Canis lupus familiaris: one gene and its partners. Each later gene encodes a partner of the first gene's protein in a complex. Links are inferred from orthologs where the notes say so. Each region holds a gene or a part of one and is shown in the gene's direction. Other genes may lie near its edges.

What was found. Proteins that work in one complex are often made in the same cells at the same time.
Region 2: CNOT9 (region 1) and CNOT6L share a complex: the UniProt entries of both Homo sapiens proteins name them as parts of the CCR4-NOT complex. The link is inferred for Canis lupus familiaris from reciprocal best matches to the Homo sapiens genes CNOT9 and CNOT6L.
Region 3: CNOT9 (region 1) and CNOT6 share a complex: the UniProt entries of both Homo sapiens proteins name them as parts of the CCR4-NOT complex. The link is inferred for Canis lupus familiaris from reciprocal best matches to the Homo sapiens genes CNOT9 and CNOT6.

Annotation. Positions count from the first base shown.
Region 1 is NC_049258.1:25,085,898-25,089,074, forward strand, and holds the end of CNOT9 (CCR4-NOT transcription complex subunit 9), read left to right. Parts: intron 1-901; coding exon of another isoform or gene 902-923; exon of another isoform or gene 924-1,555; intron 1,556-1,824; coding exon 1,825-1,993; 3' UTR 1,994-2,606; downstream 2,607-3,177. UniProt on the Homo sapiens protein: Component of the CCR4-NOT complex which is one of the major cellular mRNA deadenylases and is linked to various cellular processes including bulk mRNA degradation, miRNA-mediated repression, translational repression during translational initiation and general transcription regulation.
Region 2 is NC_049253.1:37,970,068-37,973,638, forward strand, and holds part of CNOT6L (CCR4-NOT transcription complex subunit 6-like), read left to right. Parts: intron 1-765; coding exon 766-923; intron 924-3,006; coding exon 3,007-3,161; intron 3,162-3,571. UniProt on the Homo sapiens protein: Has 3'-5' poly(A) exoribonuclease activity for synthetic poly(A) RNA substrate.
Region 3 is NC_049232.1:1,476,788-1,480,358, reverse strand, and holds part of CNOT6 (CCR4-NOT transcription complex subunit 6), read left to right. Parts: intron 1-432; coding exon 433-587; intron 588-1,168; coding exon 1,169-1,323; intron 1,324-2,221; coding exon 2,222-2,452; intron 2,453-3,571. UniProt on the Homo sapiens protein: Poly(A) nuclease with 3'-5' RNase activity.

The DNA of each region.
Region 1 (3,177 bases):
GTTAGGGAAACACTCTGGTGAATAGTTGCCCCATCTCGTGGCATAGCTCCTATATCTTTAGAGTAGGGAAGGGATATAACAATAATTAGTTTGGCAGAACTTAGTTAATTCCTTTTAGATCTGAAGTGCTAAATTTAAAAGTCCATCAGAGTATTGGGGACACCTGGCTGGCTTAGTCAGTAGAGCATGCAGCTCTTGATCTCAGAGTCATGAGTTCAAGCCCCACATTAGGGCATAGAGCTTACTTTAAAAAATCCATCAGAGTTTTATCTCTGTCTCTCTGTAACTCCTTACCTTCTTCTAGAATTCCAGAGAGTCCAGGCAGTTCCCAGGGAACCGTATGATACATTACTCCTATGGTTTAAGCTTTCTTTTTTTTATTTTTAAAGATTTTATTTTTATGTATTCATTTGAGAGAGAAAGAGAGCACAAGCAGGGGGACGGCAGAGGGAGAGGGAGAAGCAAGCTTCCTGCTGAGCAGGGAGTCCTATGTAGAGCTCCATCCCAGGACCCTTGGGATCATGATCTGAGCCAAAGACCGATGCTTAACCGACTGAGCCAACCAGGCGCCCCTAGTTTGAGCTTTCTATTATATCTAGTTATTGCTACCCCAGGTGGTCAGAAAGAGAAGGTCTATTTTCAAAGATCGCTTAAGAATGGAATAGAGCCCCAGAGGGCTCTTAAATTATATTTTCATTTCTTCTCTTTGATTCCTGTAAAGTCCTTGAGCTAATTATTTTATCTCCCTATCTTCATAATCTTTCTGTCAGAAATCATACGTTGTAGATATAATGCATTTTAGAAACATTTGACCTTTTGCTTTGTAAATCCATAATTCATGCTGAAAGCCACTTGCTCAGGTTCTGCTAAACCACATAATGGGCAATTTCTATGTTCCTAGGAATGAGGATAACTCAATTTAATGTGAATGCATCCTTCTGCCTCTGAGGTTATTCAAGCCCTAACTACTTCTTCAACCATTTTGTCTCGTTCTTCAGTGGTTCATGTTATCAGTTTGAAAATATGTTTACTTAAACTAGTCTGAGTACAAAAGCCATAACTTTATTTAAAACAGCTTTATAAACCATTAACACTTACCTTGAGGTTCTGGATTTGATTTGTCACTGATTATCTTTTAAAGAAAATGAAACATTTGAAATTTCATCTGATCATATTGCTACTATAATTTTGTTTTTACTTCTCATCTCAATTTATTAAGTGTTTTAACTATAAAACTAAAACGGGCACCTGAAGGGTGCAGTTGGTAGCACATGCCACTCTGGATCTCGAAGTTGTGCGTTTGAGCCCCATGTTGGGCATAGAGCTTACTTTAAGAAAAAAAAAAAAAAAAAAAAACTGAGGCAGTTTTTGGAAAGACACAAATTTATATTAATTTAGAATTCAAGTTCATTAATTTATCATACGGTGAGTCAGGTCATCTTCCCTATTCATGTACTGATTTTGGAAGTGTTTCATTTACTATAACCCATCTGTTACTACCATGAGCATATTGACAGTATTTACTGTAATAAATCAGAAAGCAGTTTGAATTGAACTATTGTACCATTCCATTTTGCTTTATCCTGAAATTCCACATTGAGACATCATTCTGAAAATGTTCACAAGATGACAGATCCTGGAGATCTCTGAGCCCACTCCTAATACAAGTTTTAAGGAATTTTAATGGATTCTTAAGATAATTTGACTGAACCACATATTCCCAGGATTCTGTATATTTATGTCTAAGAAAGAGCCTCTTCCCCGTTCTCCAAATGTGGGTTTATTTGCTGGTCTCCCTGGTTGGCTTGTTTGTCTCTGATGTAGGGCACGTGAAGCGCTCAGGCAGTGCCTCCCTGATCAGCTGAAGGACACCACCTTCGCCCAGGTGCTAAAAGATGACACCACCACGAAACGCTGGCTGGCACAACTGGTGAAGAACCTGCAAGAGGGCCAGGTCACCGATCCCCGGGGGATCCCCCTGCCCCCTCAGTGATCCTTCCCCGCCCCCTTCTCCTGCTCCCCTGAGTTGGGGAAGGGAGGGGGAACCTGGAGGAAAACAGCTCAGGTTTTACCGCCGACCGGGAATAGACAACCTCAATGCTGAACTGCACTGGAGAAGAGAGGGGCAAGCTCACCCCGCTGAGGTGTACGGGCTACCGTCTCAGGCCGCCTCCGGGACCTGGGCTCCCTCCACCACTCCCAGGAGGGAGATGGGCTCCTGACACCGCAGTCTGCCACCGCAGCTCCAGGAGGCTGTCAACACCAGCAAATGCTGTGTCCGCAGCATGCCCAAGATGGCCCCTCTCCCCCACCCGTACCAGCCGCTGGCAGGGAGGGAGACGTGCTGGTGGCAGCACTCTAGGCATGCTGAACGCCTGGGACCAAGCCGTGTGGCGGTCTTTTCTTTTGCCTTCCTGGAAGACTCAAGATGTGTCTCTTCATCCTCTCTCTCAGTATTTGTTTACTTTGATCTTTTGTTTTTAATGTCAGAGAGAGGCGTGTTTAGTGGACACAAGCTGTAATACTCAGCAAAACTTTGTCAATTGGCACTGTTTACAAGTCTGTTAGCTGCATAAGCTTAATAAAAAGTTGGTCTGGGCATTACATCCCCTCTAGCAAGCCAATAGCTGCATGAACTGTGGGGAGGAATGGGAGGCAGGGGAAGGATAAAGCCAAAGGACGACAGGACCCTACCGCCTCTTTTTCCCTTCCCTTTCTGTCCTTCTGCCCCCAGTTCTGGATGCCGCAAGGACCCTAACCTTGTTTCTGTCTCTAGCTGCTAGCTTTTCCAAATTTCAGTGCTTTCCCCTTTTTCATGTCCCTCCTATTCAACTTCAGCAGACGTCTTAATTCATCAGGCTGTCCTGGAAGGGTGCTGTACTGGGGGAGGAGAGGTGGCAGCGAGCCTTTCTTTAAATTCCAGTCCTCAGAGAGATGGTCTCAGATGACTGTTTAAGGGGAAGGCGCCGGGATCAAGATGACAAGCTACTTGATCTCATTCTTTAGTATGAATTTCTGCGGTTCCATTGGGGTTCATGATTGTACTTGAAGTGGTATTAATTGAATGAGTTTATTTTATTCAGATTTAAGACAGAAGGTTGGACTCTGCTTCTTCACTTAGTCTTTTTTTTGGTGGGGGGGACACATTCTCTATTGGTCTATGGGAATTACAGGGTT
Region 2 (3,571 bases), on another chromosome or scaffold:
GTACAAAGTGATTCTAATGGGTAGCCTGGATAGAAAATTACTGATAAAAATCAGGGCTTTTCAAGCTAATGTACATGTGATTCACCTGGGGATTTTGTCAACTTTCGGATTCTGACTTAGTAGGTCTTTGTGGTACCAAAGAGACTGCATTTTTGAGTTCCTAGGTGATAACTGATGCTCTTGTTCTTCAGAGCACAAGAATATAAACCTTATTGTCTTTTTAGTTTGGTCACAGTCCTTTTATAATCTAAGGGCATTTTAAAATGAGAATTCAGTTTCAGAAATGGATATATGACTTGGCAAAAAGGATTCACTTATAACTAAACTTTGTTATTAGTCCATATGCTTCTGGCTCAGAGCAGTAAGAGGCTCCCAAAAGTATTAATGTATATTTTTAAAAATTAATGAAATTAGAGCCTTTTAATAAAACTAAAATTTACTTTTGTTCCATTTAGAGTTTGGTCAAAAAATTATGTACAATTAGCATTCAGATTTAGAATTTGAATTTTTGTTAAAATAAATTTCCTAAAAATCTAAAGTATGAACTGTAAGTCTAATTCTAGTAATAGAATTTTGATGTGATGGATTCTAGTGAAGTCTTTGTAGATATAGTTTAACAGAATTTTGCCAACGGCATTCCACAATATTTAGGATAGGTTTGTGTGCCATGTGTGCTTGTGCAGGTATACACATGGTATTTCTTTTTTTAAAAAGTTGCCTAATTTTCTCCCTTTTGTCTTTTGTTTTTTTTCTCCCAATTCTTAGCATCATTCACAGTTATGTGTTACAATGTGTTATGTGATAAATACGCCACCCGGCAGCTATACGGCTATTGCCCATCCTGGGCATTAAACTGGGAATACAGGAAAAAGGGAATTATGGAAGAAATTGTTAACTGTGATGCAGATATCATTAGTCTTCAGGTAAAACTATAGAAATTAGTTGTCTGGGGGCACCTGACTGGCTCAGTTGGTAGAGCATGCAACTCTTGATTTTGGGGTTCAAGTAAGTTCGAGTCCCACATTGGGTGTAGAAATTACTTAAAAATAAAATCATAAAAAAAATTTAAAAAAAGAAATTTAAACTTAAAGGTGAACTTAGTAGTTCTTACTTCTGGGAGAGAGTCTGTATTCAAAACAAAATTCAAAAGGAATTGTTTTCTCTCTTAAAAAGGGCAGTTTTAATAAGCATATAAGACATTTGCGCAGTGAAACTATTTTGCTAAGTATAACCTTCCCCCTATACTCATTTACTATTAAGTGAAAATAATCTTATCCATTATTCATGTTAACAGTTCATCTTATGAAGAGATCATTTGTATTGTAGAAAGAGAAAACTGCAGAAGGTTGTGTCTTAGGAATCTAAATTTAACTTACAGACTCTGTAAAAAAAAAAAAGAATTATTTGTTCACTATTCCTTAATGATAAATAAACACTGTAAACATTTAAAAATACTGTGCTATAAATCATGCATTTTTGTGTTATTTTAAAAACCATATCTGAAATTTAGACATTTGTGTTTTATAACACTTTATTATAATGAATTAAACTGAAGAAGCACCTTTCTGTTGAAATTTGTGTTTTAGCACTTCTTTTCAACACTTAGCTAATGAATAGTCAAGGTTTCTAGATAGTGTTTAGTAATTTTTTCTTAGCAACTTTTCAAAGCATGTTACATGATTATGAAGGTATTTAAAAATTTTAAGTGATATAATTTCATAACTGCTTTTTAGCATAGCCTGAAGAAAGGTATTATTTTTTAAACAACCTTTTATTTTTTTTACTTGAGTAGCTTGATAATTTATGTTGGCTATGGTTCATATGATTTCCTGAGAAATAAAAATCTTCAAACATTAATTTTTCTTCTAAAAACTGAGAACTGACATTAGAATTGGGGGAGAGAAGGAGGCAAAGTCAGCCTTGTTGTAGTTATTTAATTGTCCTTTTTTAAAATTTAGTATTCGCGGTAATAATAGCCTCACATTCTTCTAAGCATAGTTTGAAGGATAAAAATGTCATAATTTAAGAAGCATTTTTTTATTGTAAAGGTAATAAGGTAATACTGTAGAATAAAATGTTCATTCTAGAAAAATTGAATATTTTGGAAAAAATATAAAGAATGATGGAGGAAAACACCTAATGTCATAATCCAAAAATAGTTTCTCTGTTAAAACTTCTGAAATATTTATTGCACGTATTTTTTAATTCAATTTTCCTATTTATTTACAGATCTATTTTCAAAATAGATTTGAGATCAAACTATTGTACTTAATGCACTTTCTATATTACTAAAATTCTTCATGCCGATTCATTATATGAATAATTATTTATTGATTTAGCATTTTCTCTATGTCTGAAATTTAGGCTATTTATTAGTTTTTACTGTTATAAAATCATGTTATGAGCATTATCATATAAATCATTATCTTCACATTTGATTATCTCATTTGGAAAGATTGGTTAAAAAATTTTATTGGTCAAGAATAAAATAGTCTAACTTAAAAGTACTGGATTAACAGGGACCATTGGAATGATTGGTGTTCAGGTACCTAAAAATTCCTTAGAGTAGAACTTTTTCTTGATAGATCTTAAACTTCTCACTTTTGGGTATCATTCCTTTCTATCACAGTTGAGAAAGATAAATAATTTTAAATATTATACCTCTGTATAAAATTGACTATTCCCTACTGCTTAATCTGTAATATGTCCAGTTTTACCAGTTTTGATAAATTGAAGTATGGTAGAATGAACTCTAAACTGGGACGAAAGAGAGTTGGGACCAGCTAGCCATGTGAGCAAGAAAAATCATACCAACAGTTCAGGTTCTTTGAGTTTTAAAAGCTGCCATTGTGAAATGGCTGCTGCTAGGAATAAGGTTAGAATAGATAATATTTGTTATGTGAATTATTTTAACTTAGTCACATTTTACTCATAATGCTGAATATTTTTATATCTTAATCAGAGTTTTCCTCTGTCATGTTGATGACAACTTTTCTTTCACCTCAGGAAGTGGAAACAGAGCAATACTTCACTCTCTTTCTGCCAGCATTGAAGGAGCGTGGATACGATGGATTTTTTTCTCCAAAGTCACGTGCCAAAATCATGTCTGAGCAGGAGAGAAAGCATGTGGATGGTTGTGCAATATTCTTCAAAACAGAAAAGTGAGTTAAGGAAACAAAGCATAATAGTGCATACTTATTTCTTTAACACACAAATTAGCAAAAAGTTAGAAAGCAAGAGATGTAAAAATTAAAAACTCTTGGTAATGTTATATTTCTTAGGCTGTGTATTAGAATTAAGAATCTTTATTTTACTTAATGCTTTATTGCCAAATTACATAAAAATTTTGAGAGGTGTATACTTGAGTATAGTGTTAGCATGGTATTTCCAAATATGTTTTCATGAAGTAAAATACTAGTTCTAGTATAAAAAAAGAAAGCATAGTACATTTTAAGATTTGAAATGAGTGGTCTGAGTCTTTCTGTGATTTTTGTTTTGAGGTTGGCTTTTTTCAGAAACCTTAATTTTATTAACCTTTTTCAATTCACATTTCATATATTTAATCATTTAT
Region 3 (3,571 bases), on another chromosome or scaffold:
TGGGTGACAGGGTCACTGAAATTGTGGCATTGTAAAAGTATGGTTTTACTTTATCATCAGCAGTAATAGAATAATTAGGACATAGCAGAGAGCACATTGAGCCTGATGCATACACAGTAACTTTAGGGTCTCAGTCCTACTCTTACAATAATTTACATGACCTTGGGCGAGTCACTTTCTCCCTGTGGTCTGAAATTAGAATCTGCGAAGTTCCTTCTACCTCTCTGATTCTTATTCCCCATCAATTCTAAAATAAAAGAAAATATACACACATAGAGGTGTATGTCTTTCCATGTTGAAAAGATGTGACATTCCTTATTCTGCAGATTAGTCCTTTGCAATTATTGCAGCCCTTCAAACTGTACATGTAAAGTTAATGCATAGTACTGATTTTGGTCTTATAAAATAACTTTGCCATTTGCAATTTTTCAGGAGGTTGAAACAGAGCAGTATTACAGTTTTTTTCTGGTAGAACTGAAAGAACGTGGCTATAATGGATTCTTTAGTCCTAAATCTAGAGCTAGGACAATGTCAGAACAAGAAAGAAAACATGTCGATGGCTGTGCAATATTCTTCAAGACAGAAAAGTAAGTCATGTTTAAAAAAGAATTTTCTCAGTATTTGCAGGGAGTCCAGGGTGTGGAAATTAGTTGGCAAATTGGAGAACGAAGCATTGTATTACTCAGTAAAGCAACACTGTTGACTTAAAGTGTTTTGAAGCATCAGAAGTGATCTTACTTTGGAGACTTGTTGAAAGTGCTGCTGTTTCTTCAGGTGTTCACTAGGGTTTAACTCCAATTGTTAATTGAAACACCTTGTAATTAACATTCCCTCTAGAATAGTAGAGGGATTCTTAAACCTGTATTTTGGAAAAGAATTATTTAAAAATTACAAGATGGAATATTCCAACATGAAACTTAAACAGAGGATGACTACATTATCTTACATTGTAAAAGGATTTCAAGATGTTATTGGTATCAGTAACAGACTGAGAACAACTTGAAATGGATGTGGGAAGCATGGTGTAAAGTGTGGAGGATTTTCCATGATGTGATTTACATGCCATTGTATTTGTTACAGAAGCTTGGGAAAACTGCATTTCCCACAAAGCTAATACTTTGGTATTCCCAATTCTATGTTTGTGTGTGTGTTTTTGTTTGTGTTTTAGATTTACTTTGGTTCAGAAACACACTGTTGAATTTAATCAGCTAGCAATGGCAAATTCAGAAGGGTCTGAAGCTATGCTGAACAGAGTCATGACAAAAGATAACATTGGAGTTGCAGTACTGCTAGAACTTCGAAAGGAATTGATTGAAATGTCATGTGAGTGACCTTTTCACTTCCTGTAAAATTGACCTCCAAAATTTAATAGAAAGCAGAAAATTTGTTCTAATATTAATAGTCTTATCTAACACCTGAAGAAACTCAGTGAGAACTTAAGTCATTTCTATAATATCCTATCACTTTTTCTCTACCACAAAGCTTAAGATGACAAAGCAGTGCCCATAAAAGTGTTTGAAACTTTGAAAGGCATAAAGCCAAAGGAAAAATTAGGGGTTTTTTTGCTCCTAATAATTTTTTACATAAAAGAAATGTTGAAGTAAATATTAGTTAAAATAAGAAGAACTCCATATGCTCCTGTAATTTCTTGGCACAAGGATACTCTGTAAGCTAACTTCTCTTCCTGACCTACTTGTAATCATTATTTGAAATGTTTTGAGTTTTGGATAAATGGACCACTGATTTCAAATTAAAAGTATATTTAGAGTGATCATCATGCCAAAAACTGAAACTTCTATCACTCAAGGAACAGTTGGGACGGGAGATGTTTAACCTGAAGGAGAGAAAAGAAAGATGAAACTTAGTGCCTATATTAAATATATCAAAGAGAAAGGATATAGATTTAATTTTGTGAGACTCAATATAGAACATCTGAATGAAGTCAGAAGTGTCAAGGAGACAACCATTTAAAAATAAGCCATCCCAAATAGAATGGGATGTGTGTGTTCAAGTAAGTGAATGCCCCACTTTGGGTTGTTCACCCAGCTTGTAGAAGGCTGTTTCTCATGTTTGTGGTACAGCAGATGTAGACATCAGGTGCGTGGTTGTTAGGTAAATATAGGGTCCCTTTTTGTACCTGAGACTCAGATACTACTTGCTTTCAGCTAGGCTGATGGGCGGGTTTTGTCTGTCTCTTTGTTTTCTTTTTTACCTAATATAGCCGGAAAGCCACATCTTGGAACAGAAAAACAACTTATTCTTGTGGCTAATGCTCATATGCATTGGGACCCCGAGTACTCTGATGTGAAGTTGGTTCAAACTATGATGTTCCTCTCAGAAGTAAAGAACATTATTGATAAAGCCTCACGAAATCTCCAGTCCAGTGTATTGGGAGAATTTGGAACTATTCCACTGGTGTTATGTGCAGATCTTAATTCTTTGCCAGATTCTGGTAAGAAAAGATATTTTATAGAATGCCTTTTTGACTTAAAATGTTTTTGTAATCTGTTGTTTTCGGTAATTCCAATTCAATCAAAATGAAAATTTAGCTGCAACACTGCAGCTAAACTGTGAATCAGGTTTAATATTTAGGTGTGTGTAGTAGGAAGACTATTTTGAAAATGAGATGATGTTATGAAAACCAGAGGAGGAAGGACATTAATCATCTTTAATAATCATGTAGTCAATAACTTGAAGTAACTTGTTAAAGAACACATGATTATATTTCATTATCCCCAGGTCACATATAATCAGACTCTGAGAAGGTTATTAAGCAAGCTTCTCTGGGATTCCAGCATGTAGTAATAGGCAGTTTAAATTGGCTATTTTCAGGATATTAATATTGGTGGACTTGATACCAATATTACTTAGGTGGAAATTGAGATCCTTTATTTACAGAGATGAGGCTAGCAATTTGAACAAAAAAAGAACAGGGATCTTGACTTTTATTACAGTGTAGAAGAATACAGAAAGGCTTATTCTTGAATACTTTTCAATTGGATAGTACAGTGAACAAACCATAGTTCTTATAATATCAGAGTATTCCTTTTTGTATTTCAGCTCCTCGTTTATACTCTCATTCACACAGAGTATTTTCCTTGCCTTTGCTTATGTGCCTGGGCACCCATGTATACACACACGCACATTTGGAGTGGTTAAGTTCACCAGCACACACATCGTTGACACCATGATGGATGAGAGCCAGTAAGAAGATAGAAACTATTAAAATGTATTTTTAGGGCAAGTAAAGGTATCTGAGATCCATAACTCTTCAGCCCATCTCATCCAGCTCTCTGGGGACACGGCTGCTGAAGCAGTGGGGATTATTCTCTGACAGTTTCTCCGCATGTGTTCTGCCTTCTGTTTAACTACAGAGCATCTGAGGGGCAAAAAGAGAATCTACTCAAATAATACTTATTAAGCCTTATTTCAGTGTTGAAAAAATACAGTATTTTAATAGCAAACACATGAGAAGATGTCCAGCTTTGCTAACTAGTTAAATGAAAAGTAGAATAACTATTTGCAGAGCCCATCTAGCTGGTAGCATTCTCTTCCATTGTTGGTAATATGT